4 linked regions of the Danio rerio genome follow. The protein of the gene in region 1 purifies or fractionates together with the protein of each later gene. This does not show direct contact. Links are inferred from orthologs where the notes say so. Each region holds a gene or a part of one and is shown in the gene's direction. Other genes may lie near its edges.

Evidence for each region.
Region 2: the proteins of vdac1 (region 1) and uqcrc2b fractionate together in Homo sapiens (co-fractionation; 3 studies listed by BioGRID, with this or other methods). This does not show direct contact. The link is inferred for Danio rerio from reciprocal best matches to the Homo sapiens genes VDAC1 and UQCRC2.
Region 3: the proteins of vdac1 (region 1) and rab2a purify together in Homo sapiens (affinity purification with mass spectrometry; 3 studies listed by BioGRID and IntAct, with this or other methods). This does not show direct contact. The link is inferred for Danio rerio from reciprocal best matches to the Homo sapiens genes VDAC1 and RAB2A.
Region 4: the proteins of vdac1 (region 1) and sqstm1 purify together in Homo sapiens (affinity purification with mass spectrometry; 3 studies listed by BioGRID, with this or other methods). This does not show direct contact. The link is inferred for Danio rerio from reciprocal best matches to the Homo sapiens genes VDAC1 and SQSTM1.

What each region holds. Positions count from the first base shown.
Region 1 is NC_133196.1:49,366,195-49,374,612, reverse strand, and holds the start of vdac1 (non-selective voltage-gated ion channel VDAC1), read left to right. Parts: upstream 1-3,025; 5' UTR 3,026-3,096; intron 3,097-8,418. UniProt on the Homo sapiens protein: Non-selective voltage-gated ion channel that mediates the transport of anions and cations through the mitochondrion outer membrane and plasma membrane.
Region 2 is NC_133187.1:10,987,900-10,996,341, reverse strand, and holds the start of uqcrc2b (cytochrome b-c1 complex subunit 2, mitochondrial), read left to right. Parts: upstream 1-3,831; 5' UTR 3,832-3,888; coding exon 3,889-3,921; exon of another isoform or gene 3,922-3,951; intron 3,952-4,360; exon of another isoform or gene 4,361-4,409; intron 4,410-5,782; coding exon 5,783-5,869; intron 5,870-8,442. Other genes in the region: snu13b (SNU13 homolog, small nuclear ribonucleoprotein b (U4/U6.U5)), read right to left, coding at 1,068-1,188, 1,457-1,459. UniProt on the Homo sapiens protein: Component of the ubiquinol-cytochrome c oxidoreductase, a multisubunit transmembrane complex that is part of the mitochondrial electron transport chain which drives oxidative phosphorylation.
Region 3 is NC_133177.1:25,050,564-25,058,469, reverse strand, and holds the end of rab2a (ras-related protein Rab-2A), read left to right. Parts: intron 1-1,683; coding exon 1,684-1,795; intron 1,796-2,665; coding exon 2,666-2,734; intron 2,735-5,822; coding exon 5,823-5,918; 3' UTR 5,919-7,341; downstream 7,342-7,906.
Region 4 is NC_133189.1:19,143,250-19,150,569, forward strand, and holds the end of sqstm1 (sequestosome-1), read left to right. Parts: exon of another isoform or gene 1-1,414; coding exon 1,415-1,746; exon of another isoform or gene 1,747-1,825; coding exon 1,826-1,967; exon of another isoform or gene 1,968-2,420; coding exon 2,421-2,501; exon of another isoform or gene 2,502-2,614; coding exon 2,615-2,793; exon of another isoform or gene 2,794-2,845; intron 2,846-2,903; coding exon 2,904-3,102; intron 3,103-3,201; coding exon 3,202-3,362; 3' UTR 3,363-3,812; downstream 3,813-7,320. Other genes in the region: mrnip (MRN complex-interacting protein), read right to left, coding at 3,966-4,628, 4,783-4,885, 4,989-5,119, 5,383-5,437, 5,980-6,086, 6,204-6,263. UniProt on the Homo sapiens protein: Molecular adapter required for selective macroautophagy (aggrephagy) by acting as a bridge between polyubiquitinated proteins and autophagosomes.

The sequences.
Region 1 (8,418 bases):
AAGTCCTGCTGCTGCAGGAATGAGGAGGTCTGCTGAAGGCGCAGCTATGGTGCAGAGAGGGGTTTACGTCTTTAATAAACTACGACAATTTGTGTTCATTGAACAGTAAGAATGATTAATAAATCCATATGAAGCAGTCCCTAGAGTCTCGCTTTCAGTTTCGGGCTCAGGCGCGCTTTGCACTCACACACAAGCGTACCGCACCAAAGCCCAAGAGAACCACGCTCTGGCACATCTCTTCCAACCGGGCCAGGGCCGGCCAAGTGAACCGTGCCTGAGCCCGATTCAGCACACTCACACTTCTTAAACTATCCGGGAGACAGGCATGGGCACGGTTCATAGTGTGGGTACACCCTTATACTGGTGGTTTCACGAAAACAAATGCAAAAAAAAAAAAAATAAGCAAAAAAATGTAGCTCCTGGAACGAATTCGGTGCTCTCCAGAAATGTATATAGAGGTATGTTTTCAGAATGAGACTGGGTTGAAATGAAAACAAATAAATAAATAAATAAATAAGATATACAGAAGGGGTATATACATCATCGCACATTAACGAATATAAAAGTGTAATAGTATCTGGATGCAGCCTTTATGATGCGAGCTGACATCGCATCACTCAGCGATGCAATGCCAGACACAATGCACTCAAATGGAGCGAGTGACATCACTGTGAGGAGGAGGGTTAGGGGTGGGGTTAGGCGAGCCCTTTAAAAAGCACTGGATGCAGCCCAGATTGCATCTGGACCAGGTCTGCAGCCAGACCCCTCTCTAATTTTCTGTAACAGAGTAAGAAATAGTTTCAATGTTATTTTTATTGGAACTCTTTTGCTCCTGATGTTCACTGGAAACAATATGGCTGATTTTAAAATAGCTGCTTAATTACAAATGTAACGGAGGACAGCTAGTAAATGCTGTGCAGGTGAACCTCACTCCTCTGACCTCTAAAGGTGCTCTAGCGACAGTAGCTAGAGGCTATGGTCTTTAGCCTCCTTGTTAGAGCAGCCGACAGCCATGCGGTTGGTCGCCGGTTCGATACCAGGTCGGAGCAGGTTGGGTGATATAGAACCGGCGGGGGTTACACATATATGATAAAAACATTGAGAATTATCCATCGTACACATCCAGTCTGTACTCTTAATAAAATACAAAACAGATTTCAACACAAACTGCTCCTTTTGTAAGCAACACTGTGTTTGTTGGTCCATTATTTGTTGATTTTAATTGTGATTTATTTACTTTTTATGCTTGAATTATTAAATTTGACCTTCATCTTATTTCTAACTGGCACTCCTGCTCCTCCACACCCCATGGCTCATTTATTCTGCAATGCAGTTGTTCTATTTTGCTTTGGAAAGGTTTTTCCCCTTTTGTCATTGAGAATGTTGATAAAGACTTTCATTTACTGTGGGAAAATGTTTTGTTTGGTTTTGTTAATTGCAAAACAGAGCCTTTACTTAAAGTTCTTAATATTCTTATATTAGTCACAAAATTGTACATGCATAAATGTAAATTTACAAACCAAAACCAAATATACAACTTAAACACGACATCCAAAAAATACAAAAGTAACTAACAGCATAAAATAAACTAAAATATAAATTACATAAAATAAATAAAAACACAGCTTCAACATAGAAACCTTTGCAAAATTATTATAACGTAACCCACCCACTTGACTGCAAGTTTACTATTCAGTTAACTTCAGCTCCTTTTCCTTTGCTACTATAAATGTATCTTGACATTTTTAATATATTGGAGCGAGTATACAAATGAAAATCTCTAATAGAATCCTTTAAACAAGGTTTAAAGTTATTCAATCTGCATTAATGAATTTACCAAATAAAATCTAAATATTTATTATAAATTCCACAGATAAATTGTTTGAAGCAAAATAAAAAGTAACATATTTGGGGGTCAAATTACATCTAAAACCTGAGTTTTTGGACATATAATGATAAGTCTTTCCAAAACTTTGAATGCTGACATTCATAAAAATTATACAGAATGAACAATTTCCATCAGTCTGCATTGTGTAAATTTGTTAATGTAGTTCCCTATGTGTATTACATATGCAGACGAAAAGCATTCAACTAACCTTTTTTTCTCACACAATATCTTCAAAACAAACAAACATTCATTCATTCATTTTCTTGTCGGCTTAGTCCCTTTATTAATCCGGGGTAGCCACAGTGGAATGAACCACCAACTTATCCACTTATCAAGTTTTTACGCAGCGGATGCCCTTCCAGCCGAAACATCCACTCACACACACATTCATACACTACGGACAATTTAGCCTACCCAATTCACCTGTACTGCATGTGTTTGGACTGTGGGGGAAACCGGAGCACCCGGAGGAAACCCACACGAACGCAGGGAGAACATGCAAACTCCACACAGAAACGCCAACTGAGCCAAGGCTCGAACCAGTGAACATTTTGCTGTGAGGTGACAGCTCTACCTACTGCGCCACTGCATCACCCCCAAAACAAACACTCCAAAAATAAATAAATAACTAAATAAATAAATAAATTAAATTAAGGCTCTGTTTAAAAAAAATATTTATCTAATAACTTTGTTTGAACATTTTTTTACTACAAAAGTTTACTCCGTTTAAGTATAGTACAGGATCAGTTCTATTAGTTCTATATGAGGACATTTGACTTCAAATTAGCATTAGCAAACCAGAGGGAATGGCTTTTGTTACGGGGTTATATAATTTAAATTTAATAGGGGATGACAATCATTCCATAACATTTTTGCAAGATAGTAAATTAGCTGATTGGTCTAAAATATCAGAAAAGAAAAAATACCTTAATCTGTCCAGTTTTGCAGATAGAGAGATTTCTGGTTAACAGTATTATGAGAATTATTCCACAAAACTGCTTTATGGGGGAGAAATTGAGCTCATAACACAAACCAAAAACCTTTTTAATATATATTTTGCTTACAATGATGATGCTCAGCTGCTGTGAATCTGCCGTGATGACGCAGTGTCTGCGTGCGCGGCGCTCTTGCGTCACTCCGGCGTGTGCGCGCGCACGTCTCTCCTCTCCACTGTCGGCTGAGCTGCTGTCCTCTCCATCCACACAGAGGTGAGTCCACATCTACACTTTATCCAGCATTACACTGAATCTGCAGCAGAGTGAAGGCTTATTCTGCTCATACAGTGAACCTGAAGAGCAGTTTATCACTCATACAGATGTATATACACATGCAGATCTATATTTGTGTGTATATATCTGGGTGAGCATCACTGAGGAGAGCACGGCCTGCTGAAATGCACGCGCCCGTCCATCGGTTATCTGTCAGAGGACTTTTATTGAGTTCATCCGCTGCATTTACACTCTGAGTGCAGGAGCTGATCATTGAGATCGCGTTGAGGGAGAAATGTTCTGTATATTGAGTGATTTTGTGCTCGTCCTCTGATACAGCAGTGGCCTAAAGCTGCGCCATTGAGCCGCGGGCATGCGCACTGGCTGCCCCTGGTCATCTCTGCACGTTTGCGCGCGCGTGTGTGTAGAGATATTCGCGTGAATGAATAATGTGTGTGTCAGGGATAGTCATTGTTGGCGGGACAAGTGAACGATCCTTCACATAGGACGTGAGAGTTCAGGGAGTGCGCGGAAGCGGGCGGTTTGGCAACAGCTGATCTGTGACTGGAGAGTGCATGGTAGGAGGTAGCTTAGATTCCGGAAGCATTCCGGAAATGGAGGAAGAAATGTCGGACGCAGATGAAGTGGGAAATTCGAAAAATGAATGGATTACAGTAGAAAAACGGAAAAGAAACAGAAGCTGGAGTAATACATCTGAGACTGACAGTGAGAACGGAATGCATCAGACAAGACGAAGGAAAGAAGAGTTTAAGGTAGTGATGAAACTCGATTGTGGTTCATTTAGCTTTATCAATCCGCTGAAGATGTCTAAAACAATCAAGGAAGAGATAGGATTGGTAGAAAGTGTTAAAAAATTGAGAGACGGCAGGCTGTTAATATACTGTAAGGACAGCAGACAACAAAAAAAGGCTGTAGAAATTAAATCTATCATGGGGCAAAAGGTGACTTGTAATGTACAAGAAGAAAAGAAATGGGTTAAAGGAGTAATCACTGGCATCCCTACCGATGTTACAGTTGAAAAAATCAAACGAGGTCTTACAGGTGCAGCTGTAATGGATGTGAAAAGACTTAAATGCACCAGAAATGGTGAAAGGGGAGATAGTCTTTCAGTAATGATTCACTTTAATGAAGACAAACTGCCAAGTAAAGTATATCTGGGATTTGTGAGTTATTCTGTGAGGCTTTATGTACCTCCCCCTTTAAGGTGTTATAAATGCCAAAAATATGGACATGTGGCAGCAGTATGCAGAGGCAAGCAGAGATGTGCTAAATGCGGAGGGGAGCATGAGTATGGTAAATGTGGTCAAGGAGTTAGTCCCAAATGTTGTAACTGTGGAGGAGAGCACAGTGCGGGATATGGAGGATGCAAAGTGAGGAAACATGCGGCTCAAGTACAAAATGTTAGAATTCAAGAAGGAATGTCATACTCAGAGGCCTTAAAAAAAGTTGGAAAGAATGTAGAAATAGGTAACAAAAGCAAAGAAATCATTCAACAGAAGTCGGAAATGGATAAAGAAAATAAGAAAGAGAGATTAGAGATCAAGGGAAATGCTGCATTTATTACTTTTATGGCTGAAGTAGTGAACTGTTCAGCTCAGACAGAAAGTAGGACTGAGAGAATCAGAATAATAATTAAAGCAGCAGAAAAGTATCTAGAGATTGAGGGTATCTCAGTGGATTTGATAAATGAGAAATTAAAGATGCAGATTCCATCCTCTCAGCAAGTATGTGGTGGCCCTTAATAATGTTATTAATATTACAGTGGAACGCGAGAAGCTTAATAGCTAATGGGCAAGAATTTAAAAAAGTAATTTCCAATTTAGAAAACAAACCAGATATAATATGTGTACAGGAAACATGGCTTAAACCACAGTTAGATTTTGTACTACAAGGGTATGTGGTTACTCGGAAGGATAGAAAACAAGGTAATGGAGGTGGAGTTGCTACTTTTATTAAACAAGGTGTAGGATATAGGAATGTTGAGGTGGTGGTGGATCAGGAGGTGGTTTCAATAGAAGTTTGGGAAGGGTGTTGTAATATTAAGGTAATAAATTTTTACAATCCATGTGAAAAATTATGTAAAGAAAAATTAGAAGTCATAAGAGGTAACATTAGTCAGAAAGTAGTATGGTGTGGTGATTTTAATGCTCACAATACTTTATGGGGAAGTGATAAATCGGACAGTAACGGATTGATAGTGGAAGAAATGTTAGATTGGGGACAATTAGTATGTATGAATAATGGGTGTTACACAAGAGTTGATTTGTCTCAGGGACGTAAATCAGTTTTAGATATTACCCTTGTGACAGGAGAATTAGCTAGGAAATGTGAGTGGAAAATATATAAACACAGTACCTTGGGAAGTGATCACTATCCAATATGGTGTAAAATTGGGGTGGACATCATCAACACTCCGATAGAGAGAATTTTAAGATGGAAATTTAACGATGCTAACTGGGAGCTCTTTAGAGATGTATGTCATGATAAAATGTGGGAAATGGTCAATGACAATGATAACATAGAAGAGTTAAATGAAAAAATAAGTGAAATATTAAGAAAAACTGCAGAGGAAGTTATTGGTAAAAAGAAAAATGTAAACAATAAAAAAGCAGTTCCGTGGTGGAATAAAGAATGTAGTAATGCAGTTAGGGAGAGAAATAAAGCAATGAAGAAAGCCAGGAGATCAGTATTGTTCAAGGATTTTATTAATTATAAGAAAGCTCAGGCAATAGTTAGGAGAGAAATAAGAAAAGCAAAAAGACTTTACTGGAGAGAATTCTGTAATAGAATAGGGGAGGAAATTGAAATTAATGAAGTTTGGAATATGATCAGAAGGATGGGAGGAATTCAGAAAAATAATAACATTCCTGTTTTAATTAGTAATGGAAAAATAGCAGTTAATAATGATGATAAAGCAGAAATGTTGGTGGAATCATTTGCAAAAATTCATAGTAATGAAAATATTTCAGATAACATGAGAAAAATCAGGGAACAGAAAATTAGGGAAAAATCTCATATATATGAAAAGAAGGATACATCAGGAAGTTTATTAGACTCAGAGTTCACATTATATGAGTTAAAAAGAGCTATTTCAGGGGTTAAACATACTTCTCCGGGAAAAGATGACATATGTTATGAGATGATTAAACATCTGTCAGATGTATCTTTGAACACCATTTTGATTTTGTTTAACAAAATTTGGGTGAAAGGAAGTTTGCCAGTAGATTGGAAACATGGGGTTATAGTGCCAATAGCCAAACCTGGAAAAGATCATTCTCAGCCAACTAGTTATAGACCTATTGCACTGACATCAAATTTATGCAAAATTATGGAACGGATGGTTATGGATAGATTGGTTTTTGTATTAGAAAGTAGAAACATTTTTTCAGCATGTCAAAGCGGATTCAGAAAAGGAAGAAACACAATGGACTCAATCTTGTGTTTAGAAAATGAAATTCGAAAGGCACAAATAGGGAAAGAGGTACTTGTGGGAGTGTTTTTCGATGTGGAAAAAGCTTATGATATGTTGTGGAAAGAAGGTCTTCTCTTAAAATTGGAAAACATGGGAATAGATGGGAGAATGTACAATTGGATTCTGAGTTTTTTATTTGGTAGAACGATTCAAGTAAGAGTAGGGACTGCATTGTCTAAGATTCTTCCAATTGAGAACGGCACACCTCAAGGAAGTGTGAGTAGCCCAATTCTGTTTAACATAATGATAAATGACATCTTTCAAAATATAGAATCAGGAATAGGAAGATCACTGTACGCGGATGATGGAGCGATATGGAAAAGAGGACGAAATGTAACATTTGTAGAAAATAAAATGCAAATAGCAGTGAATAAAGTTGAGAGTTGGGCTAATAAATGGGGCTTTCGGTTTTCTGTTGAAAAAACGCAAGTAATATGCTTCTCGAAAAAAAAAAGCAATCCAGTATTAAACATCAAAATGTATGAAACGCGGTTAGGGCAAGTAAATGTAATCAGATTTTTAGGTTTATGGATGGATAATAAATTAACATTTAAAATTCATATTGAGAAATTAATTGAAAAATGTAAAAAAGGAATAAATGTATTAAGGTGTTTGGCTGGAGTTGAGTGGGGTGCCAGTAGTACAGCATTAAAAAGAATTTATAATGCTGTGATAAGGTCAAACATTGACTATGGGTGTATGGTGTATAGTTCTACTAATAAAACATTGATTAAAAAAATAGAGGTCATACAAAATCAAGCTCTGAGGATATGTTGTGGTGCTTTTAGATCCTCTCCAGTGGCATCATTACAAGTTGAAATGGGAGAGATGCCATTAGAACATCGAATGTCTCAGCTGAGAATGAGATATTGGATAGGAATAAAAGGTCATTTGGAAAACCATCCTGTTAGATGTCTTTTAAAAGATTGCTGGGAGTATGTGTACAAAGAAATAGCAAGTTTTGGTTGGGTAGTAAGAAAGGAAATAAACAGTTTAGAATGGAAAGATCTGGAAGTTGCTCCATCTGTCGTTATACCAACAATTCCCCCATGGGTGTTTCCTATGCCAGTAGTAGATCTGCAAATTCATGAAAGAATTCAAAACAAGGAGATAATTATTCCAACTAAATTATTAGTTCAAGAATATATCCAACAGAATTATTATTCTGTATTACAAATCTTTACAGATGGGTCGAAGGAACCTAAGTGTGGAAGAACTGCTGCTGCTGTATATATTCCACAATTTAACATCAAAATTGCAAAGAGATTATCAGATCACGTGTCAGTGTTTACCTCTGAATTATTAGCTATTATTATAGCACTTCAATGGATTGAAGAAGTCCAACCAGAAAAAGCAGTAATTTGTTCAGACTCAATGGCTGCACTTAAAAGCCTTCAAAGTGCCAAATCTGAAGCTAGACAAGATTTAGTATTTGAAATTTTACAAAATTTATTCACAATTAGGCAGTTAAGAATAATGGTTTCATTTCTCTGGGTACCGGCACATGTGGGGGTAGATGGGAATGAGGAAGCTGATATGCTAGCAAAAAAAGCTTTAAATAATGAGCAAATAGAAATTAAATTAGCATTAAGTAAAACAGAATTTAAAAGAATGATTGCAGTCGAAATATATAAGAAATGGCAACAGGTGTGGAACAAGGAGACCAAAGGAAGACATTTATATCAGATTCAGGAATTTGTAGGAAACGGGAGGAAAAGATACGGATATCGAAGGAAAGATGTCATCATAACAAGACTAAGGATAGGCCATACGTCATTAAATTACAGCTTGTATAAAATAGGAAAGCATGAATCAGGGAAGTGTGATAA
Region 2 (8,442 bases), on another chromosome or scaffold:
AAAAATCGGTATTTAGTTTAAAAACACTTTTCATATATATGAGCAATCCCGTGCAAATGTCAACCTTGCCCTGAGAAAAGTGGCTGCTATTTATTTATTTATTAAAATATTGTACATTTACGCAAGTACATTTAAATTTATATTACCAACAGTAAAGTCATTGAGGTGGCCACAAGGTCGAACAGATTACACAGATTACACAGGGGTCGCAGTGACCCCTGGCCACCCCTTGGGGGCGCTCCGATTGGTCAGCTCGACACAGAGGAACAAAAACCTCACTGCCATCTAGCGTTTCGAAAGTGTTATTGCAAACCAACACAAACAGCATAAATGCACGACTACGATCAAGGCATGTGCCGTGGTTCAGGCCGATCACTCAACACAGAAGTATAAACCAGGCTTTAGGCATGAGTTAGTAAATTCCATCACTAAGAGCAGATAAGCGGTTTTCTTTTTTTGCATTCCATAGACGCGCGGATACACGCACGCACGCTCAAATGTTCAATTATTCATTTTTTTAAACATTTTAAATTGAGGATTAAACCGAACGACTTAACACTTCATCAGCTTTAATCAGGTTTTCATTCTTTTTAGGAACCACAAACCCCAAAATGTAATCACCCTAGTATGAAGGACTCCAGTGTTTATACAGTGATGATTTGTTACTAATCATTTACTAATACTAGTATTTTATTTTACTTTATTTGAATATGAGAAGCATTTTTGAATATGAACAATTCACTAAATAATTTTATTAAATGAGTTCATTATTGAATTGTATTAATCGAATCTGCATTTGTTCTCTTGTGTTCTGTTCCACACTGATTAATTTACACTCAAAAATATTTACATAAATTTATTAATTTACTAGACCTCCGTTTGGAAACACCTGGTTGAAGCTATGTGACTTTGCATGTTTGAAATGTGGTTGAGAATTTGAATTGGATTAATTTGTAAGTGTTCAAGTAGCAGTGTTTTAATAATATCTATAACTAGTATCCTAATGTTAGGAGTGAGAAGTATTGTTAGTCTTTTATGGTGAATCTAACATTACACGAGTTATTCACCTTCATTGGCCCCTTTTCTCAGCTGTTTGTAGTTGGACGCCTGCTGCACCAGATCCAGGATGGTTTTGGAAAGCGTGGCGTCTGCCAGAGGATAGGCTTTAGGGTTCACTTCAGCTTCAGTCTGAGTAAAAACCACAGACAAAGGAGTAAAACGATATTAGAAGACACGCATTTACATAAAGACAGCCTAACTCTTATCATCCGGTTAGCAACGTTTGAATTTAGATCTACGACGCAAATGTACAAAACACAAACGCAACGATGCCTTTAAAATATCAAAGTATACATACTTACAGAAGTCAAAATCAAAATGTATAAATGTTGAATTCATTGATAAAAAACACGAGAAACTAGCTAACGTTAACTAAGAAATCCCACGCGATACTCACCATCTTGTTTGTTGTTGTTGTTTCACTCGGTAATTTTACTTAACAACACACGGTCCTCTCGGCTAGAGCTTCACGGAGGACGACACTATTTAACCAAACAGAAAATATAGAAAGTTTAGAAATTATGCAAAAGAAAATCACTCTAATGACCAGCGCAGCTTTGAGATCTTCACCACGAACTGCAGAGGCACACACGTGTTTGTGATCGACACACTGCGCATGCTCACATTGAAAACCACTTCCTGTAGAATTTTTAAAGGGGACTTTGTCGAAACATTTTGTAAAAAGTCCTAAATGCGAAAGTATTTGGTCATTACCTCACAAATTTTTAATTAGTTTAAATATCTTTTAAACCAATTCATAAATTATATCCGGATAAACATTTTCTCAGTATACAAAAAAGATGTTGATATAAATTGCTCTTTTTGTTCTTCGCATTTGGAAACTGTCTGTACCCCACATTATTTGGCACTTCGGTTATGTTAAAAAGCTTTGGTATTATTAAGCTATCTGTCTTTATCAAAAAATGCACTTTTTTTTAATTTGGATTAACGCAATTTTTGGATATTTTTGGATATTTTTGTTATTAATCTATGTATTATGTTGATTAAGTTTCATAATTATAAGTGTAAATAACAACCCCCCCCCCCCCCCCCCCAAAAAAAAAAAAAAAACAGTTTTACTTTGTTTTATAAGGAACTGAAAATTACAGTTTTTCTCGATTGCTTTGATGCAGTTGTCAACTGAAACTCCACCTTTTGAAAACAGTAAACACACAGGCCTAAACAGCGGCACTCATGGTCAAAATGACACATTATGCTTGCAAAAGGCACATATCGTGTCAAAACATTTAAAATATGCAACAAAAGCTAGTTTTACCTTCAAACAACACAACTTGCAAACAGGTATATGAGCTCTTTCAATTAATCATTACACAATGGACAACAAAATACAAAATGCAGAAGTCAGTGCACCACCATTGCTTGCCATTGTAGACTATTGCCAACGTTTGTTGTCTTTCTATTTGGGCTGTCAAATTTACCTTTTTGCAAAGAATTGGATCCAGAATAAGATGTGCTTTGATTAAATTTATATTGAATTCATGACAATTTTCAAACAGTGGCTGAAAACTGTAAAAACAGACAAAAGTAATGAAATACTGTAAATATTAAGGAAAACACATTTAAACCGATTTATAGTCAAATCTATTGGGAGTATAGGACATAGCCACTATTGACCTCCTCCATCCATGCTAGCACTGAAGTACACAAACCTTCCACCGTTTTTAATGTTTGCATTGCTAATTGAAGACTTGTGTGAAGGAGTGTCAAACCAATACTTTAATGAATTCATACTGATCTTGGTAGTTTCTAATGGTTAGGAATAAATGATTTCTGTTTGGTTACCATAGCTAAAACAATGGAGTTAGGACCCCTTGAATGACATCCGTGTTAACTGTTTTGAAAAATGGTGGGGAAAATGTGTCAACCCAATGAGAAAGGGTTTACATATTTGCAAGACCTGTCTTCTGCTCTGCTGGGATAGTGAAAATGAAAATAAAGTCAAACCTAGTTTCTATAACTAGGTCAAAGCAAACAAGAAAAACTGTAACTTTTGTACTACTGGCTTATTGCTAATAGAAAGGCCATCAAAACAACTGTTCGCTTTGTGCTTTAGTTTCAAAATCTTTGAATAATGTAACGTAAAGGTCCTGCTTGTTTGTAATTGTAAGAATTTTATTTGATTATTTATACACATTGTCTGTTTGTTTTATTAATTTTTGTACTTTTATTATTATTTTCATTATTATTTGCATTCCATCACCCTGGCACTATTTTGTTTGCTATATTGTCATGTATGTGTTGTTTAAAGCATAAGAAAAAACTTAAAAAGTAATTTTATATTAATTATTATAATTTTTGTTTGTGATGGTCTGTTGTACATTTTGTCCCTATTAAATAAATGTATTGAAAGCCAATTTGTAAAGTTTAGCTGTGTTGTAAAGTTCAATATTTTGATATTTTTTAAATTCCTTTTTTTCATAAAACAACGTGGTATGTAATGTTAATTTTAAAAGATCATATTTTTATATGGAGTAAAATATTTCAAAAGCACAAGCATTTTTTGATTAGCTCTGTAATATACTATAGTAACATTCCTTATTAGTAAGTGTTTTGAGATCTATGGAAAACTACAAATTAAATTAAACTTATCAAATATTACAACGCAATATTTACATATTCAAATACTACAATGCTGCGTGTACTTTGCGATAGTTCGTAGTCAATCTTCCGAGTCGCCATGTGGCAGTGTGAGTTCACGCTTAACTGTAGTGTGGACATGCTGTAGAAGAGGCAGAGAGTGAAGGATTTTGGGTAGGACATCCTTAGGTCAGCCATATTGCCGTGGTCTGTCTGAAGGAGAGAGAAAATATGAGGGGAATTCGGGGAATAAGCCAGTTATCGGTGAGATTATGATTTACGTGGTTAAAGATGGTTAGTCGAGATTTTGCTGTGTGGTTTTGGATGTTGTTTAATGCTTCAGGTCATATTGAATGGACGCCGGCCTTAACTTTAGTTCACATAACGTTATACAAATATAAGAGAAACGGTTGTCAGTTCAGCTCTCAGTATGTCATATTATTATCCTTTTTAATATAACCATGTTTTAATATACTATTTAAAAATTCTTCATTCTGAAATGTTTAACTTGTAACTTGTATTTGTATAACGTTAAAGATCAAGGACATTGTTTGAGTTTTGTAATGTTTGTTGTCAGTTTGTACAGAATTGATTTCATACTTGTATATAATTTTATCGTATTTTCCATCTTTTATAGATAAAAAAAAAATCAATGTAGTTTTAGTTTTTTCTTTCTTTTCAAATGTTCCCATGGACCCTCTAGCTCTCATTTCCTTATGTGACAACAACACTCAGGTCTGCAGTATGACAATGTAAGTTATTGTATGTATTCAACACAGTGTGTTCTTGAAATGGATGATATCTTAGTTGAGAATTAATTTGTAGATTAATTAAATAATTATCATTTTGAAAAATAGACATCACCAGGTTGTAAATACAAGATGTAGGAAAGGCAACTCAAGACTTTTTCAAACAATTTATAATATAATTTTAGATCTAATAAAATAATAACACATAAGACTGTTTGTAGGTTACAGGAAACACTGCTGTAGAATAAATGTTTGTTTATTATGAAGCATCAAGTACAACAGTAAATGTAAGACTTTAATAAACAGAACAGTAATAAGAAATTGGGAATTAAAAATACAACTAGTTGTCTTTAATATATACATAATACAATTATACATTTAAAAGCACATAATCAAATATTAAACTATTGAACAAATAAAATTCATTTAAATGATTGACACCATTGGTAAATAATAGAAATTAGGGCTGGTTGACTTGCATATGAAGTTGATGCTTATACCTTATTATATTGAACTTTTCATTATTAAATAATTGAAATGAGTTATGATATAATTTTAGACCTTATATAATAGCGTTTATGACTCTTTGTAGATTACCGGAACATGGCAATATAAAAAGACATTTTTGTTAATTATAAATGTAAAAATTAAGAAGAATTAAATAATAAATGAAACAAAAAGTATAATAAATAAAACGTACACAATCTACATAATAAAAGAATACATCATCAAATCAAATAAACTGTTCTGTGCAAATAAATATTCATTCATCATCTAAGTTATTGGAGCCCTTGCCAAATCTTTATAAAGAAGGCTGTGAAAATGGGGACTAAATATATTTAAATATAATACAATGTTGTTGTTGAAATTAACATAATAAATAAATAAATATTACATAGTGATGTAATAAAATGCTGAATCATTTAAATAATTGTGCCCGCTTTATATTTCAGAAGCTTTTTTTGCAGAAAGAGACTTTCCCCAATTTTCGACCATTTAATTCAGTGAAATGTTAGATGTTTATTTGTTTATATTTTCAATCAGAGTTTTTTTTTTTTAAATAAACATTTTATTTATTGTGAAACAATGTCAACAGTTGTGGTTGTTGCTCCGTAACAGTTTTCCTGATCTATTTGTGTGATCAATTAAACACTTTGATATGATGTAATACAATATGTATGTATTTTTACACGCATTTCTGGTGATATGTTATCTACAATCCTGATGCAAACAAAAAAAAGGCTTGTAGCATTGTTATTTAGAATTGTTTGTTCCAATAATGGGTTTACATTGTATACCTCGCTCTGCCTTTGTGTTCGTACTGCTTATTTTGGATGGAATCTTTTGTCAGAGCTATGTCTTTTTTTAATTTTCAGAGAAGGCTTTATGCAGCCCAGGCTGCCCGTAAGGTGGATTTTGCTGCAGCTGGGGAGCCACTAAAGTTTGTGCCACAGGAAGTGCAGGTCAGTAGATGATGATTTGTCTTTTGCTCTACAGCAGGGGTGCTTAACCCTGTTCCTGAAGTTCGACCTTCCTAAAGAGTTCAGCTCGAACCCTGATCAAACACACCTGAATCAATTAATTAGGACCTGAACAGCACTTGATAATTACAGGCAGGTGTGTTTAATATGGGTTACAACGGAAATCTGCAGGAAGGTCGATCTCCAGGAACAGGGTTGGTCACCCCTGCTCTACAAAGATGCTTCAATGCGGCCTCTCAAAGTAACTATCCCTTGACCATCCCTCTGATGGGCATCAAGGTCTCAGCAGGTGCCCCTCACATGTTCCAAGACGTTTATGTTTGTATATTTGTATGGGTACTGGGGAGGGTTTCTGCTCGCATTTTAGAGATTGTGCTTCCTCAGGAATCGTTTTATAGTGTTGTTGATATTAGATAATTATGGTTTTAAATTCCCCATATTTACACCATGTCTTTACTTAATCAAACAGACATATTTCACATTTTCAAGATTTCTATAATCTTAATAAGCACTACGTGATTTTCAGCATATTGTTTTCAGGTAACTGTATATAAAACTTTAGGTTGTTTTCACATGATGTCATTGATGTGTGGAATTCAGATGGAGGGCAGGAAGTGATTCTTCTACATAGGAATCAAAAGGCTTTTACAGAACATCAAACTGTTTCTGTTTTATGTTTATAATTGTTTAACTTGGCCAAAATAAGAAATACTGAACAGATTATATAGACTTCCAAAGGTTTTTGCTCATAAAAGGGGGGGGGATTCAAGAAACTATCTAAATAAAATAGAAGAAAAGACAACATGTATTAAACCCATGTGGACAAACTTTTTTGAACGCAATTATTTGTTTTACAGCACCAGTAATTATATACAAGCTATGTACTAGCTATGTGTTAAATAAAAATCAGATACAAACACCACCACACTTATACTTAATCCAGGAGAATATAAATTACATACCCTCCCATGTAATCGCTACAATGAAATAGCGGCCTTGTTTTGCAGTAATCCATGTTTTTACTGGCATTTCGGTGGAATTAACAACCGTAACGTTAATGTCTATAGGCGCAGCAGCTGTAAAGGTTTGTAAGTTCATCGACAAAACATAAAAGAAATGCTACCTTTGCAACAAAACTAGACGGTTTTTGTTGTGGCACACTTAAACATTTTGTGGCACACAAAATAAATTTATAGTAATGTAGACCATGATGCCCTGCTTTTGTATGCTTATTATCGTGATGTCTGGAAGATATTCGCATGGGGGAAAAAACTACTAATTTGTAATGAACATGTTATTGAACAACTTTTTGTTAATGAATGCTACAGAATACTGTATCACATTAAACTGATAAACTTGTGTAATAAATGATGTTAGTATAAACTAGTGCATTGTGATATTGTGTATAATTATAACGTTGAAAACTGAAACCTATTGAATAAATTGTTTATTATTTGTTTATGAATAAATAATTAGTTACAGTTGTACAGCAACAATATAATTACTATGATAGTTTAATTCAAGTGATTATCTTTAGTATGATTCCAAACACTATAGTATTTACTAGTGTTTTTCAATTAACACAATTATACAGTATCTACTGCCTCGATGGCAGGCTAATATATTTTCGTTCAGTGGAAAACTCTGCCCTCTTCATGATGTAAGGATCATGCCCAACATATGTGGTAATTTTCTATTTAATTCTCCTTTGAAATACGGTATAAATCGCAGAAATATGTAGTTTCCTTTACGTCGCTCATTTAGTTTATTCCTTCCTGCCCTCCATCTGAATTTCGCTTGTTATCAGAACCAAGTGATTGAAAACAACCTGTTAGTGCTGAAAATTTCGCTGTACTGATATCACATTGAGCTTTAACTGAACGAGTGCACAAATATTAAACTTATTTGATTTTATATATGTATATAATTCTAAGAGTTTACATTTTTCATTAATTTGTTATTCATTTTAAATTATATGTAATCTAAATCTCTATAAAAAGGTTTTAAAATATTAGTTTATTGGTAATGTAACTTTTTTCTACAAACCTTCTATATGTTGAGAGTATAAATAAATGTTTTTGGGTAATTCAAACATTTAAATAGCAGTCTAAATAATATTGACATTTATTTAGGTGTTTGGCTAAATTCATATTAGTTTGACCAAAAGTTTGTGCTAATCAAAAACCAAAAACTAACATGAACATCAAATTGAACCTTTAAAACTGAAACTTTTGTTAAAAATTGAAAATTCACAAGAGAAAATAAATTATATATATTTTTAATAATAAAGAAAAAAAATATTTGTAAAAATGATAAATAAAAATGGTCATATGGTTCAATGAGAAATGTTGCCAATAGGTAAAATGAATCATGGTCTCAAATGTGCAAAATGAGATACAGTGCTTCCCACATGTCTGAAATATGCTTGCGCTGGTAGTTCAGGTTACTTTATTGCCATGACATTTAGTACAGTACTGCCAAAGCATTTAAAAGAAGTATAAAATATGTAATCGATTAACATCAACAAAATTTTAACATATACAGCAAATCAAGAA
Region 3 (7,906 bases), on another chromosome or scaffold:
TTAGTTGACCAGGAGCTACAGAATTGTATTAAATCACTGTATTTAAATTTATGCAACAAAAACAAAAAATGTTTTGCTTGCTTTGAATTTTTTTCTTTGTTCCTATTAACAAACCTTTAACTAACACTACTAACCTAATAAACTACTAATTAGCCGTTTATTAATAGTCAGTAAGGTAGAGGTTTGGTTTGGGTTTAGGTAGGATTAGAATCAGATTATACTTTATAACTACTAATGAACAGTTAATATCATCATAATAGGCAGGTAATAAGCCAGCAGTTAATAGCATGAATTGTGACCTAAACTAAAGTGTTATCCAAATTCTACACTTCAAACCACAAGATTATTTACTTACCCCGCTGGCAGATCATTTTGCTTGTTTTAAGGAAAAACTCTTAATATTGCCTTTATTTCATCTCAATTTTTAAACAAAACAATATTTTTACTTGATCTAAGATATTTTTGTAGGTATTTGGACTAGAAATTAGACAAAGAAAAGCTTTTTTATTTTTATTTTTTATTTATTTATTTTTTTTGCACTGCGATTTATTCAATTTCTGTACCAGAATACAAGATACTATTCAACTATCTTGTGAAACTGTATTTACATTAGGGTTGGGCCAATAGACCATGCCATCGTCCATCGCCGATAGCCAATAGACAACACAATGCTGAGCCGGCATCACCGATCCTCTGCCCCGCCTCTGTCGCAAACATGCTTGCAAAAATATACACACTTAGGCCATTAACACTAAACGTCTTAGTGTTAAAATTTGATTTATTTATGATTTGTTTATGGATAAAACAAAGACCATGCGGGTCAGGTAGTTGAAAATGTTGGCTCGAAATAATTAACTCGTTATGAATCAATTAATTATTCATAAAAAATGTATTCACCTCCACCTATGACGATGATGCCATCGTGATGTTTCACATTATACAACGTATGATGCTAACTTGGTCGACATCGCTCAACCCTAATTTACATTTCAATATTTATCGCAGAAAATAAATATCACAATATAGGGCTGTGCAATATGGCAAAAATGCATTCTTAATTATCATCATTCATATTGAACAATAACGATATATATTTCGATATAAGTTGTGTGTGTTGTACCCCTGCAATGACTGAAGCCACAAAATTAGATGGTCCATTAAATGGCATAACGTATTTTCGCCCGATAATTTTTCTGTGCCCGAAAGTTTGGTGCATCTCTAATATTGACACACTTCTAGATTTCCATTGTTACACATTTCTGCTGTATGATTGGCTCTTAGATCAATATAGAGTTAAAAAGTCCAGAGCGTATTATTGTCATTGACAAATTTTATCGCGATTCAATATAATATCGTTTATCGGCCCAGTCCTATCACAATGTCAGATTTGGCCAATATTGTGCAGCCCAATGTTGTTAGTTTATATATATATATATATATATATATATATATATATATATATATATATATATATATATATATATATAGTGTACTAAAGAATCTGTTGCTGAATATTTTTGTGGAAACTGTAATTCAGTTGCTCATCTTTTGATATGGCAAATTTAAAACAACCATTTAAAAAAAAAATCCCCTGTCCCATTTTTTTAAGGACCAGTTTACATATTTCAGTCATATTTCAATAATCTAGCAATTAAAAACCAATCTGCTTTTTTCCAATGCCAGTGATTTGGAGTCACGGAGAGAGGTGAAGAAAGAGGAAGGAGAGGCCTTTGCCAGAGAACATGGCTTGATCTTCATGGAGACTTCTGCAAAGACCGCATCAAACGTAGAAGAGGTAAAACACCACCTGTGTGACTCCCCAGTCTCCAGTGCCTGTGTCGTGATTTATGTTTGGGTTCCCGTGTGAAAACACACACACACATATAGATAACACCCTAGGGACATGCAGACTGGGGAGAAAAACACTGGGATCTCTGCGGCAGAAGCCAAGAAGCTAAAGCAGGGCTTAGGGATGGCTTTAAAAAGATGGGGTGGCGGGGTGTTAAATTGAGGAAGTCCCTCCCCCATCCATCCATCCAACCACCCACCCAAAGTCGCCTCAATGATTAATTTGTCTCATTAGTGTCGTGTGAATTCTCCTGACCCTTCCCCCCACCCCTTTATGACGTTTCAATCTCCTATTTAGGGTTCATGCATATTCATAGATTCCCTGCCACACACACACACACACACACACATCGGATGATACAGCGCACACATCTGCAGCGCTTGCTCAGCCATGGTTTTCTCTCCCGGTGGTAATTGAGCCGCAGAGGACTGATTGCTCTGGAGAGCAGAGAGGCAGTTGCACCAAAAAAAGCAAAGCAGCTCTGTTAATTAGGCTACAAAGTGCCAGTGGCAGGTCTTAGCACTTTAAAGGTGATCCGCGCACACGGCCATGTTTCTTTTCAACGGGTGACCAGTGTGTGTGTGTTTGATTGGAGAAATAGTAGACCGTCATCATCGCTTTCAGCCAGATGGGGGCACCAGCCTTCAGCTGTGAGAAATCCTGACGGTTTGGACTTGCAGAGTTTTTCCAATCTATTTTATTTCACTCATTTATTCATGAGCCACATTGATTGCGTGAGGTATTGTTTTGTGTCCAGTGTTGCAGTGAGTTTATCTTGTTTTGTGGATAAAATATCTCTTTTTGTGTGCGTTTCAGGCATTTATCAACACAGCTAAGGAGATTTATGAAAAGATCCAGGAGGGAGTCTTTGATATAAACAACGAGGTAACCTATATAACAATGAAGCACATTGTTTGTTATTACAGGTTAAAAATAAATGGGTCAAGAGGACTTCCTGTTGCATTACTGTGAAATCTGTTGTGCATGGTCTTGTGGGTGGATTTAGAAACTCTCAGCATATTGATTTTAGTTTTAGATGCCTTTAGAAACCTATTTAGGAAAGATAAACTTTTTTTCATTTGTAAAATACTTTTTAACTGTTTTATTAGACTAAGATAATAGAAAAAAAGTTCTTCAAAAAAGTTCTACAAAGGTAAAAAGAAACAGGTAGACAGTGGTTTTAACCAGATTAACCAATGGAGTCCATTTGGGGTTGGCATAATGACTTCCTGTGAACTGTCTTTCCATCACAAAATTGTCACGGTTATAATCTGATTTCTTTAAAAATCAGCGATCTTCACTGCCTGTTAGATGTACGAAGAAATGGGACTCATTGTACAAGAAGCACTGCATTCAATTTCATTTTCCCCGCCATGTCTTTAAAATATGACCGTTTATTTTACCCCAGTATTTTTAATGGAGTTTCTGCTCTATTCTGTTGATACTGGCAGCGCTAGCAGATACAACAGTCTTTCATCTTATTTAACGCTTGAACAACTAAATAAATGCTTAAGTCTTTTTAACTAAGTGTATTATAATTACATTACAACATTGATGCTGTAAAAACAAGCTTGTGAAATTGAAAATAGTCACATTAAGCTTTTATCATTGGCTTTAAAACTCTAGCTGTGCATAAAGCCAATTGTTGGTCCAAACTTTTTTCCCCATTTTTTTTTGTATACATTTCTTTCCTTATTTATTCAGTTTGGAGACACTAGCGGCATTGAAAATGTGCACATACGTATGTTGTTTATATGTTCTGTTGCACTAGTGGTTAACAAATAAATTTTTAACCTGTACCTCTTGTGGAAGATTGAAGCCAGAGTTAATTCTCTTTTTATGGATATTACTAGTTACATGGCTACTAGATCTAAAACAATCCCACTAGGGTTGTCGCGATACTATTAATTCTTGTTACGATACTATACCAGCTGAAGTATCATGATACCAAGTAGTATTGCGTTACTGTAATTCATAACTCTAATTATAAAGGTAATTGTCAGAAATACTATATTTATATGTTGTGATAGGCCTACTTAAAGTTGGTTCATAATTCCTTTATTATTGAAAAAAAGTATTATTTGCATTTAACTTCACCTAAAATGTATTCCTTTTTTTTGGTAACACTTAATTTTGATGGTCCATTTGAGTATTAGTAGACTGCCTGCTCAATATCTGCTGATACTGCTCCTTCAACAGACATTTACCTGACCATAAGAAACTTTGCAAGTATGTCAACTTGCACTAACCCTAACCATAACGGTCTACTTATAATCGATTGAGAATTAGTTGGCATGTAGATGCAATGTAAATTAAATTGAACAAACTGACCAAGTTATTTTTTTAGATAACTGACAAACAAATACATTTAGAATAAAGATACAAATTATACCAAATGAAATTAGTTACAAAAAGATCATTTTTACAACACTACTAGGCTATATGAAATGGTCAAAAATAGTTTCAAAATTTCCTGTTGCTATTTTGGATTTTTTCCATCCTTTTTTTTTTTTTTTGGTCTGTCTTATTAGATGACGAGTCATTGAAAAATTCACTTTGCGAGTGGTTTCTTTTTAAGAGATTGTCTCGTTTGTTGTAGCTACTAAATCATATTGAAAGGAACAGAAATGAACCGATTCAGATATGTGTTCGAAACATCACAAAACAATCAACCTTAAAGGGTTCCAGACACCATTAAAACAAAGTGGTCCATTGTTGCACGAACATGTGAGCATTTTAGTGACTTTTCCACATGCAGCAATATCTATTGTAAATTGACAGATAATGGCGATACTACCGTTAACAAACTACTGCTGCACCCCAGTATTTTGGAGCCTTAGTATCGCGATACTACCATAGTACCGGTAAACAGTGCAACCCTAAATCCCACTATAAAAGCACTCTACATTACATTAATTAAAAACATTTAATTTTAGACAAAATTACTTTAATACAGCTTTCATTTTATGGTAAACATCTGCTACTCGTATGTCAGACACTTTAATTATTTACATCTTCGAAGTAGGTTAACAAATTAGGCCTCACATTAGATGGTTGATACCCTTTGTACTCTGGTGACGTTTTCTCACAGCAGCCACATTGTGCATCCTTAAATCTATGCAAATTTTCATGTAATATCCAATGGAGTGTAGCTGATATTATTGTACTGGTTTGCATGTGATGCAGGCATTGTAACAGTTGATTAAAATGTTTGGGACTGTAATAGTGGTGACCGTTTTGACAGCGATATTAATGTACAACTGAAAAGAGAGGTAGCAGAAGGATCATGGACGCAGATGTTCTCCAGAGGAGAAGCTCCACACAAGCCCTCCGGCCCTTCAGTTTCTCTCCATTGGCTGCTGGCCAAGACATAAATTCCTCACTTCTTGTAAGTTACAGCCGGTTTGATGGAGGTGAGGCCACTGCAGCTATTTTATTGCGGTAGTTGGAAAAGTAAAAAAAAAATCAGTTAAGGCACACGGTCCAAACCGCATCAGCTGATACAGATCCTGGCCAGGAACCTGAAGACTCGCATGTGAGCTCACCCCAGATCACTATAAATCAGATTTGGCGCAACGTGGAGTTTCCTGAGAATGTTACAAAAGCACAACCTCGCTACGACGTGCCGGTTTTGATCGCGAGCCCGCTTAAGGGAAAAGTTGGCTCGGTGGTTGCCTTTTGTGTGATGAATGAAAGTGCCACCAGCTTGGGTGTGCGTGCGTGTGTTTTTAAAGCTCTGGCAGGTTTCCCTGTGTAGCTGCTGGAATAACACTCCAGAGGTTCTCCCGCCTCAGCGCTGACAAAAGCAGCCCACTAATTCAGGCCTACAGGGGCTGGTATTTTCTGCTTAATACAGCGTTATGTGACAGTACAGAATCACCATGCTTTCACACGAGCTCTTTTTACTTTTGTGAGGTCTTGTCTTCTGAAATGGAGCAGAGTGTTGAAGTGTGATTTTTATTTGTGTGCGCAGGCTAACGGCATTAAGATTGGACCCCAGCATGCTGCCACCAACTCCACGATGGGCGGCAGTCAGGGAGGACAGCAAGCCGGAGGGGGCTGTTGCTGAGCTCTGGCCTTTACCCTCCAGTCTCCTCCACGTCTCCCTCCGCCCCTTACGTTTCTACTGGACTGGTCGGGCTCACTAACATTTTCTTAACCTCCCACAGCCCAGGCCCCGGATTCAGATCATATATTAGATGGCTGTCCAAAAACAAAAACGACAAAAAAAAAAAAACAAGTATATTTATAAAGTCCAGGTCCTCTTCAAACCTCCTGACAAACTCCTGAAGCCTGTTTGGGCTGCAGCAGACATTATATGGTTACTAGTAAGGAAAAAGGCAGGAGCTTTGGAGTTAATATGGTAAATCTATTCATGTTTGTTTTTTGTTTTTTTTCAGCAAGTTGTTTGTTTTGTTTGTTTTTGTTTTTTGCCCGTTTGAACTGTATTAAACACTACAAAGTCATCTATAGTATTTTAATCAGTTGATGTGGGTGATCTCAATGAAAACTGTGGTAAACCCTGAAGTCAAAATAAAAAGGATCGTAGAGCTGGTCTAAAAAAATCTAATAAAAAAGGAACGGGTGTTATCAAAGTGAAGAAAAAGAAGCAGGACTGTTTTAAATCTGTATTTATCATTCACATTCTGTATATATAGTTATCATTTCTTGCTTTGGTGTACGTTGACCGAGCTAGAATTCTGTAATGAATTTGCTTAAATTCTATACTGTATGAATAGAGCTTGAAAAACTGCAACAGTATTGCGATATTTCCAAAAACCTGCTTTGACACCATTTTAAGGTAATCTTTTACTTCATTTGTTTTAGTTTGGTCCTGCCATCTGCCTTGACCCCTCGTATTCGTGCCCCCTCCGAACCTCCTCTCTGTATAGAAACTATGGCTCTATATACCTATTTTAATGCCAAATTTGTGTTTACCTGTGTTCTAAAAATCATGGCTCCAGTTATGGATCACCTCTCCAGAACTAGATCTGCTGTTTGCCTTAAAAGGATTTTGGGACGTCAACAGAAATAACATATTCATGTTCCGCAGGATCATTTCAGTGATTGACGTGCAATCGCATATTGCATATGATAACGCTAGACTCACTTATCCATTAGACAGACACTCACGCATACATACCTATGCCTATACATCCATACAAGTCGTCACGTATGCATGCATCTGTATGCATATAAAGAGTTTTGTTTTTCTTTCCTGTCTTTAAAGTTCATTTTTTCTCCAATTCAGTCCGCAGTGTAACGTCAGTGCAGATCCACATTAATTTAGGTGTCTGAGTGATTGTGTAAAGACTTGCTTTCTCTTGGCACTATGTTGTTAATAAATAAATATATGGTGAACATCTTGTCTGTTGTGAAAGGGGTGTGATAAAGCCAAACCTGGAGTAACTTTGTGACCCTCAACTTTATTTGCTGTGTTCTCAAAATTAAATGCTATCACGAAAAAAATATAATAAAACCTTCTAAACTCAGCGTGTTTTTGCTTGCTTATGTATGTGTGGGAGTTCATTTATTATGAAGATGACATTCATTCATCATTTATTTTAACTTAATTTATTTTACAGCAATTTGTTTTAGACGCGTTGATTTTTAGATGACAATAAAAATACCTGGAACTTAGCTGTAAGTCAATATTAGATGGAATATCGCTGATTAAATCATAAATTAAATTATTATTTTAACCAATGATCATTGTCTGAACTTTCTGAAAGAACTTTCTTTCATAGCTGTCTGGAACAACTAAAAGCATTTAACTTAATACTAATTATATTTTTTACCAAAAATAAATATTCATAGTTGTTTAGAAAATGGCGTTACAGTTAAATAATCTTACAAACACAACTCCGCAACGTGTTACATTTAATGTCAAAACATGTAATGGCGCCAAAGAAATGCTCAGTTTATTACGGTCTGCAGGCATTTAGATCAAGGACAGGCCTGAACATCCGGGCTACAGGCGCCAACAGGGATTGGTTGCTTTACGCTTCAGGTAAATTCACCTTGTTTACGTATGGCTTTGATGCCATTGTTTATCAA
Region 4 (7,320 bases), on another chromosome or scaffold:
TGTGTGTTTGTCAGGGCTGCATGATGTTAGGGGGAAAATAATCGAATCTAAAATAATCCTGTATAGTATTTATTCTATAAATAAAATACTGTTAACCTTTAATATTTTATTCAACCTAAATTCTGTAAATATGCCTATATTGTTTACAGAGTAACAGGCCTTAAAATCCCATGCAAATTATAAACTTTCACTCGTGATTGTCACGGTTTACAATTAATTCACACATTGTATTTGTTTTGTGATGCCTTTGCTACCGCCTTACTTTAAATCCTGCAGTTTGACTATCGTGAATGTACACACAGTGAAGTGTCAATAATGTGTGGGTGGTGCAACTCTTTGGGACTTTAAGTGTAAATGTAAGCCTAAATAGAATCTACAAATCCATTTTGTTGTCACAAGGAAACCATAAACGGGAATATCAGAGCGAACCTAACAAACAATCATATTTGGCTGCATCCAAAATCACATACTCTCTGTAGGTGGTGCTTTTAATAACTAGCTTCAGGCGTGTTCTATATAGTATGAATGCAATCTGCACCGACTGCATTCACATTATATTTGTGAAGTGACGTAAAGTTACAAAAGACATCTACCAGTTGTGTTGCTCCGCTGCCATTCTCAAAACATTTCCATGATCTCATGGGAAGGTAAATTTTTCCATCTGATGCATTCTTTGGAATATTACTAGATACAGCGAATTCTGGCATGCTACTTTTTGAATGCATCCAAGTTAGTAGGCTTTGAAAACATTGTTGTTGCGTTATGAAGACTAGATTAACTCAGAGCAGTTGGAGTAATTGTATTTGTAATATCAAAGTGTATTCTTCATCCTTAACTTCCATGTGTAAGCGTTCTCTTATTCTCAAGCTGCTGAGACAAACTTACTTAGGAATAGAGAGAAGTCATGAGCTAAGAGCAAAAGGCGTAGTCAACCTTGTTGCTCTGGATGACGTCAGCATCTTTAATAACTATGCAAACAGTGATTGGTTGATGGGGAGTCTATCAGAGATTGATTCAATAAAACTTTGTAGAGAACAATATTTCGTTGCCCTATTCAAATAGGGGGGGGGGGGGTAAATATTTTTGAAAACCTTTTTCTTTCCATAAGGGAATACTAGTGAGGATCTTTTGTGAAGATTTTGATTGGTTCTTGGATTCACTCTTGTTATTTGAGTACTAGAATACTATAAAACTAAAACACCTGCCACTTACATGTGCACAGTTTATAAGGTTGGAAAGATTACATGATTGGAAAGAGCGTCTAATGATGACATTAGATTTAAAGAGTGTGAATACTTTTTCATCTTGGATTCATCATTACGTACTTTGACCATACAAGCCTTTGAATATCTCAGATCTTTTGCAAATAGACATCTTCAATTAATAGCAATTATGTTATTTCCTTCTTTTTCAGAACGAAAAGAGCACAAACGTGATTCTTCTCCTCATGGAATTCCTGGGTTTCCGTTCACTACACCTCACTTTAGCCCTCCTGGTCCCTGTCATATGGGTCCATCTCCAATGGGGCCTCCAGGACCACCTCATATGGGGGGTCCTCCTCACCACCCTCACCCAATGGTGCACCCAGGTGTGACCTGTGACGGGTGTGATGGGCCGGTGGCTGGAACCCGTTACAAGTGCACCGTTTGCCCCGATTATGACTTGTGCCCCACCTGCCAGAGCAAAGGCCTGCACAAGGAGCATGCCCTCCTGCCCATCTTTCATCCTATGGCCAACGTGTTTGAGGTGAATAGCACTATTTTACTACATACAATACACTGCAAATGATCTGAATATTTTGGTTTGATTAATCTTTTGTGTGCAGTGGCTCCCTCGTGGGAAATTTTGGCGTAAGATGAGACACTGCATGTGGGCAAATGCTCAAGCTCAGGCTCAAAACCAGCCTCAGCCAGGTCCATCTGGAGCGCAGCAAAACCAGGATGCTCCTGAAAACCCAAATGAGAATGGTAAGCCAATCATTTAAAAGGGTCTATAGCAGAAGTCAACTCAGCTCCTGGAGGCTGAAGTCCCTCCAGAGATTAGTTCCAACCCTGAAACTGAGTAGGTTGTGTGTTTTTTTATAGAAAGAAGAGTGTTTCTACAGGTGGTTTGTCAATCCCACTCACCTGTGTAAAGCACACTTCAAATGTAAAGTTTTTTTGTAATGTGTCTTATGCAAGTGTCGGTTAAAGTGTCAAAATGATGGAGTGTGATTTCTACAGGTAGTTTTGTCAAGCCCACTTACCTGTGTGAAGCAGGTTTGTTTAATTAGGGTTAAAGTTAAACTTTGTAGAGCTGTGGCCCTCAAAAAACTGAGTTTTACACCCCTGGTCTATTGTAACAGGAGGAACTGGAACAGAATTGGGGCATGTCCAAAATTTTCCTGACTTTATTCTTTTTTTTTAATTATTATTTTATAGGTGCTACTGCCTCTTCTCAGGCTAACGTGGAGTACCTAAAGAACATCGGAGAAGAAGTGGCAGCCATGTTAAGCCCCCTTGGTAAGTCGCCTGCTTTGGTCTTTCCCAAATATTTGGTTCCAACACAATCTGATACTTCTTTGATTGGCATGTTAGGCAAAACCTCTGAAATAAAAGTGATTTTTCCTTTGTAGGCATAGATGTGGACATCGATGTTGAGCATGAGGGAAAGCGGACCAAAGTAACCCCAACTCCTCCTGCCTCCAGTGGACCATCCAGTGCTCGGAGTGACAGTGGTTCTGTGGGGCTTCTTTCTAGAGGCTCTGGTCCAGGAAGTCAGGCCACTGAAGAGAGCGTCAGTGAGGGAACAAAGGTAACAGATACCCTCTTAGCTGTAAAAGGCCTGATCGTCTCAAGTTTTCAACCTAGAAGGAGGCCACATATCATGTTAACGTTTATTCATTCTCTGTTTCAAAATGGCAGAAAGACCAATGTAGTGATGAGGAATGGACTCATCTTAGTGCTAAAGAGGTGGATCCTTCGACAGGAGAGCTGCAGTCTCTTAGACTAGAGCAGGACGGGGCAGATCTTCCAGCTCCACTAAATACTGCTTCTGGCACAAGCACCAGAGACGGTCCCACTGGTCTGCGCGAGGCAGCTCTCTACCCACACCTTCCTCAAGGTAAAGTGTATAATTATTTATGCCCAGTGATGTTCTCTATTCTAGGCTATCACTTTATATCAGTTGAAGCAATTCTAACTTTACTGCGCTCTCCTGCAGATGCAGACCCTAGGCTGGTGGAGTCTCTGTCTCAGATGCTCTCCATGGGTTTCACCGATGAGGGTGGATGGCTAACCAGACTGCTCCACACCAAGAATTACGACATCGGTGGTGCTCTGGACACCATCCAGTACTCCAAAACACCAGGACAACAGAAGTAGAGGTGGAGCACAGGAATACAGAAGACCTGGGCCATACTTAATATTTGAAGCTTCTGGCCTATTTTCTAACTTAGTCTTTCTATACTTTTAAAATGATAAATTTCCACAAATATTAACAATATCAATTACTCAGGTGACTAGTACATAGTTAAGTTCATCATTGGGCTTATATATGCAAAATGTTTGTCTTTAGCTTAACACTTGACATTATAAAGAACATTATTTTCATGTATGCATAATATTACGTAAAGGTTGTTAAGTAGAGATCTATATTTGTGCAACTTCACTTTATGGATTTTCTGTTTGCATAATCAATAAGCAGTTTCTAGATCAAGCATAAACCTGGAGGGTTTGTTAGTTTGAATAAACAGATGGAATCGGATTAATGTCGCTGTTGGTCTTCTAAAATTCCTGTCTTTTCTATCTACAATAAAACACTTCTCTAAAACATTCCTTGTGTTTTGGTGTTTTGGTATTTTGAAATGTACAGGACTAGTTATGAATACAAATGTAGATCAATGCTAATAGTTTAACAATTTATTATTATTTTAAGGAAAATATTACTTTTTTAACATTTTTAACCATCCTTGAAAGCAAACTTACCTAAAATGTGTCATCAAAGTCTTCATCTGTACAAAACAGTGGGTTTAAAGATAAGCTGGAATATGGTGCCTTGACCAGTACGGGTTTACAGACAGCATTTTCAAAGCCTACAGACTTTGTGAAGCTGGTGGTTGGACAGGATACATTTCCACCAACATCCTTCTGTCTGTTTAGAATGCCACTGTCCTTTTCATCTGCTGGACATCGGCGCTCTTCAAAATCCACACCAGTATCTGCTTTTGTGAAATAATGGATCTCAGTTTTCTTACCATTTTGAGATTCATAATCGTACACATCCTTGTCCTGAGTGGGGACGATGGTGAGAAATTTACTCCATTTGGAATCCTTGTTCTCAATTGTAGATTCACCAAATGTCTGATGAGAAGAAACAGAGGGGCTTTCGCTCTGGATGGGAAGGTGTTTGTTTACATCAGCAGTTGGAGGCCTATAGGAAGATTTAATCTGCTGTTTATTTCCAATAGAGTTTTCCATGGTGTTTGTGGAACTGGAGCAAGCTGTAGGGTAATGATCAACAGTCTGTCGGGATGATGGGAGTTTTGTTCTAGCACTTGGTACCACATCATCTGGTCTGTGGCAGTTTGAATATTTGGAAACACTCCCTTTATTCCATGATGAACTGGACCTCTTCTCAAGTTGTAGCGGCTACAGAAGATACAAAAGTGAAATGACTTTTCTATATATTTAATCTAATAATCTTTTTATTCCAGCATTACTGTCAGGTTTGTGCAGCGAGTCTGGACATTTTTCATAATCTCAGCATACAAATCTGTCATTAATATGGATATCTGTGACTTACCAGATGGGCCTGTTTCCTAAACTGGGAATAACCAGATCTTGATTCCTCGTAGTTATCACAATTCCCACCAAAAGGCTCTAAACTGGACATTTTCTTCCTTTTCCTGTTTAAAAAAATAACAACCTTTAACATTGATATTTGCTCAGATGGTTTTCAGTAATGATGCAAGGCAGTATGGATATTGTACTGCTGCCTTTAGAACTAACCTTGTTCCTTGGATTCTGAATTGGGGTCTTTCTGTATAAACATTCTCATCTTCGTCCTCTTCTTCTTCATTTGGACCCTCAGTAGTTTGATCGGTGTATTTGCTCCAGCGGCTGACATGAGCCTCACCTTGCTACATCAAGAATAGGATTATTTATTGTTACACACTGCAGTGTAAAAAGTGATATGACAAATGTTTTAACTTAAAAGTTAATCAGGTTTAAACACTTTTTGTAATAAAAAGTTTGACTTAATATGTTTAGTGAGTTTGATTGATTTTAAGGCAGCAAGATGTTTTTGCAGTGTGCGTACACTTAATGTACACTGTCTTCATTTTACTTCAACATGGTATAACAGTTCAATTGAGCAGTCAAAAAGGTCTGACTCAGCATTTACCTCTGATTTAGGATCCAGAACTTCATAAACATCTTCATTCTCATTCTCTTCATCCCTTAAAATAAAATTGTCAATGGGTCAGTGACATGACATTAACTTGTTCACCTATTCATTTGTTCAGAAATGTATTATATTAAAAATGCCAATTATTCACACAAAGACCTAAATATACATCTAGAAGATTGTTTTGAAATTCTGTATTTTAAAAAATATATACAGTTTTGTAGTTTTTACATACTATATACTAGGGAGTTATATAAAAGTAAGCAAATGTTTATAATATAATACTAATAAACATTATTTGACATTGAAACTACAGCTTTCATTTTTTTTAAATGAGAAATTACTCAGATTAAAGAGATAGTTTAATCATAAACTAAAGTTCTGTCATCCTCCACTTGTTCCAAATCTATAAGAGTTTATTTTTTTCTGTTTGACACAAACGATATTTCGTAGACTGTTGGAAACCTTTAGCCATTTCCTACTATGAAAGTCAATGGCTACTTTTTTAACATTCTCCAAAATATCTCTGCAGTCAATATCTACCTGTTTTCAACATTCTCCAAGATATCTCCTATCTCATTAAGGTTTGCTCACCCCTGTGCTAGCAACTGTTGAGTGTTAAGCTGGTGCTGCTCCCCACGCAGAGCATTGAGCTTCTGAACATGGCGTCTGCAGTCAGCGGCAGCACCACGGCCAAACTCCTGCAAAGAATAAATAAAACAAACAAATGAAAAGAAAAAAAAAAAGCACATCAAACTAACACTAAAATAATTGCCAAGACAAGTGGCAGGTTCAGTTTAGCTTGTTTTCAGCTTTACCTTTATCAGCGACTGCTTTTCACCACACACTTTACAAGTCCATTTTTTAGCCTTTTTCACCTGGAGGAAAAAAAGTTTGTGGTTTAGAATGATAGTACTGGATAAAAAATTCAAAAAATGAATTGATTCAGATTCAGAAGCTCTTCGTTATTAATACTCACTCTTATATCATCCAATCTCCTAAGGCTTTCGTTAATCTTCAAACCACAACTTAAGATATTTTAGATGAAGTCAGAGAACTCACTCATCCTCCATTTCAAGCAATTGTTGGGTGATAGAGCTCTTGGATTTTATCTAAATTATCTTAAAACGAACAAAGACCTCAGGAGATTGGAAACTAACAGGAGGGTTAGTTATTAATAACAACATTTTAATTTTGAGTGAACTAACTCTTTAAGTAAAACCACAAAGTGAATTATACAGAACACCATTAAAATATAAAAGTCAACAATAACAAATTATTAAAAAATAGAATTGTTGTATTAATCCTTTTAAATATGTCTATAATGTTCTTTTTTAATAATTTTAATAACAATTGTTTCTACTTCAATTTGTTGTTGAATTATTCACATAACTTCAAACAATAAAACAAGTTTTTATTTCAAATTTATTCAGACATACAGGTTAAAAACTAGCAGTTAAAAAAAAGTGTATGGCAAATGAAATTGTAGCAATATGTAACGTTTATATATATATATATTATAAACACTCATTTTTTATACTAAAATTGACAAAACACTGTTAGTTACGCATTGTTTTTATGGTATTGGGGTTAAAGAATCTATATTAAGGAAAATTATAATTGATGCAAATTATTATTTGTATGAAGCGTTTATCTACGCTTTTATCTAAACTTGTTTTATATTTACACATTTGGATTTTCACTTTTAACCTATTTTGTATAATTTCAATAAGTATCATTTGCAAATACTAAACAGTGAAATCATATTAGCAGCCAATGACTTTCAAACGTGTAACTTAACATTGTTCATTTAGGCAAATAGTGTTTACAAGTCATATTTAATTCTAGACCGAAATACTAAAATTACCATGGTAAACAATATAAAAACTTTATAGGGAGAGTGTCACAATTTGTCACTGAACGAATGTGTGAATT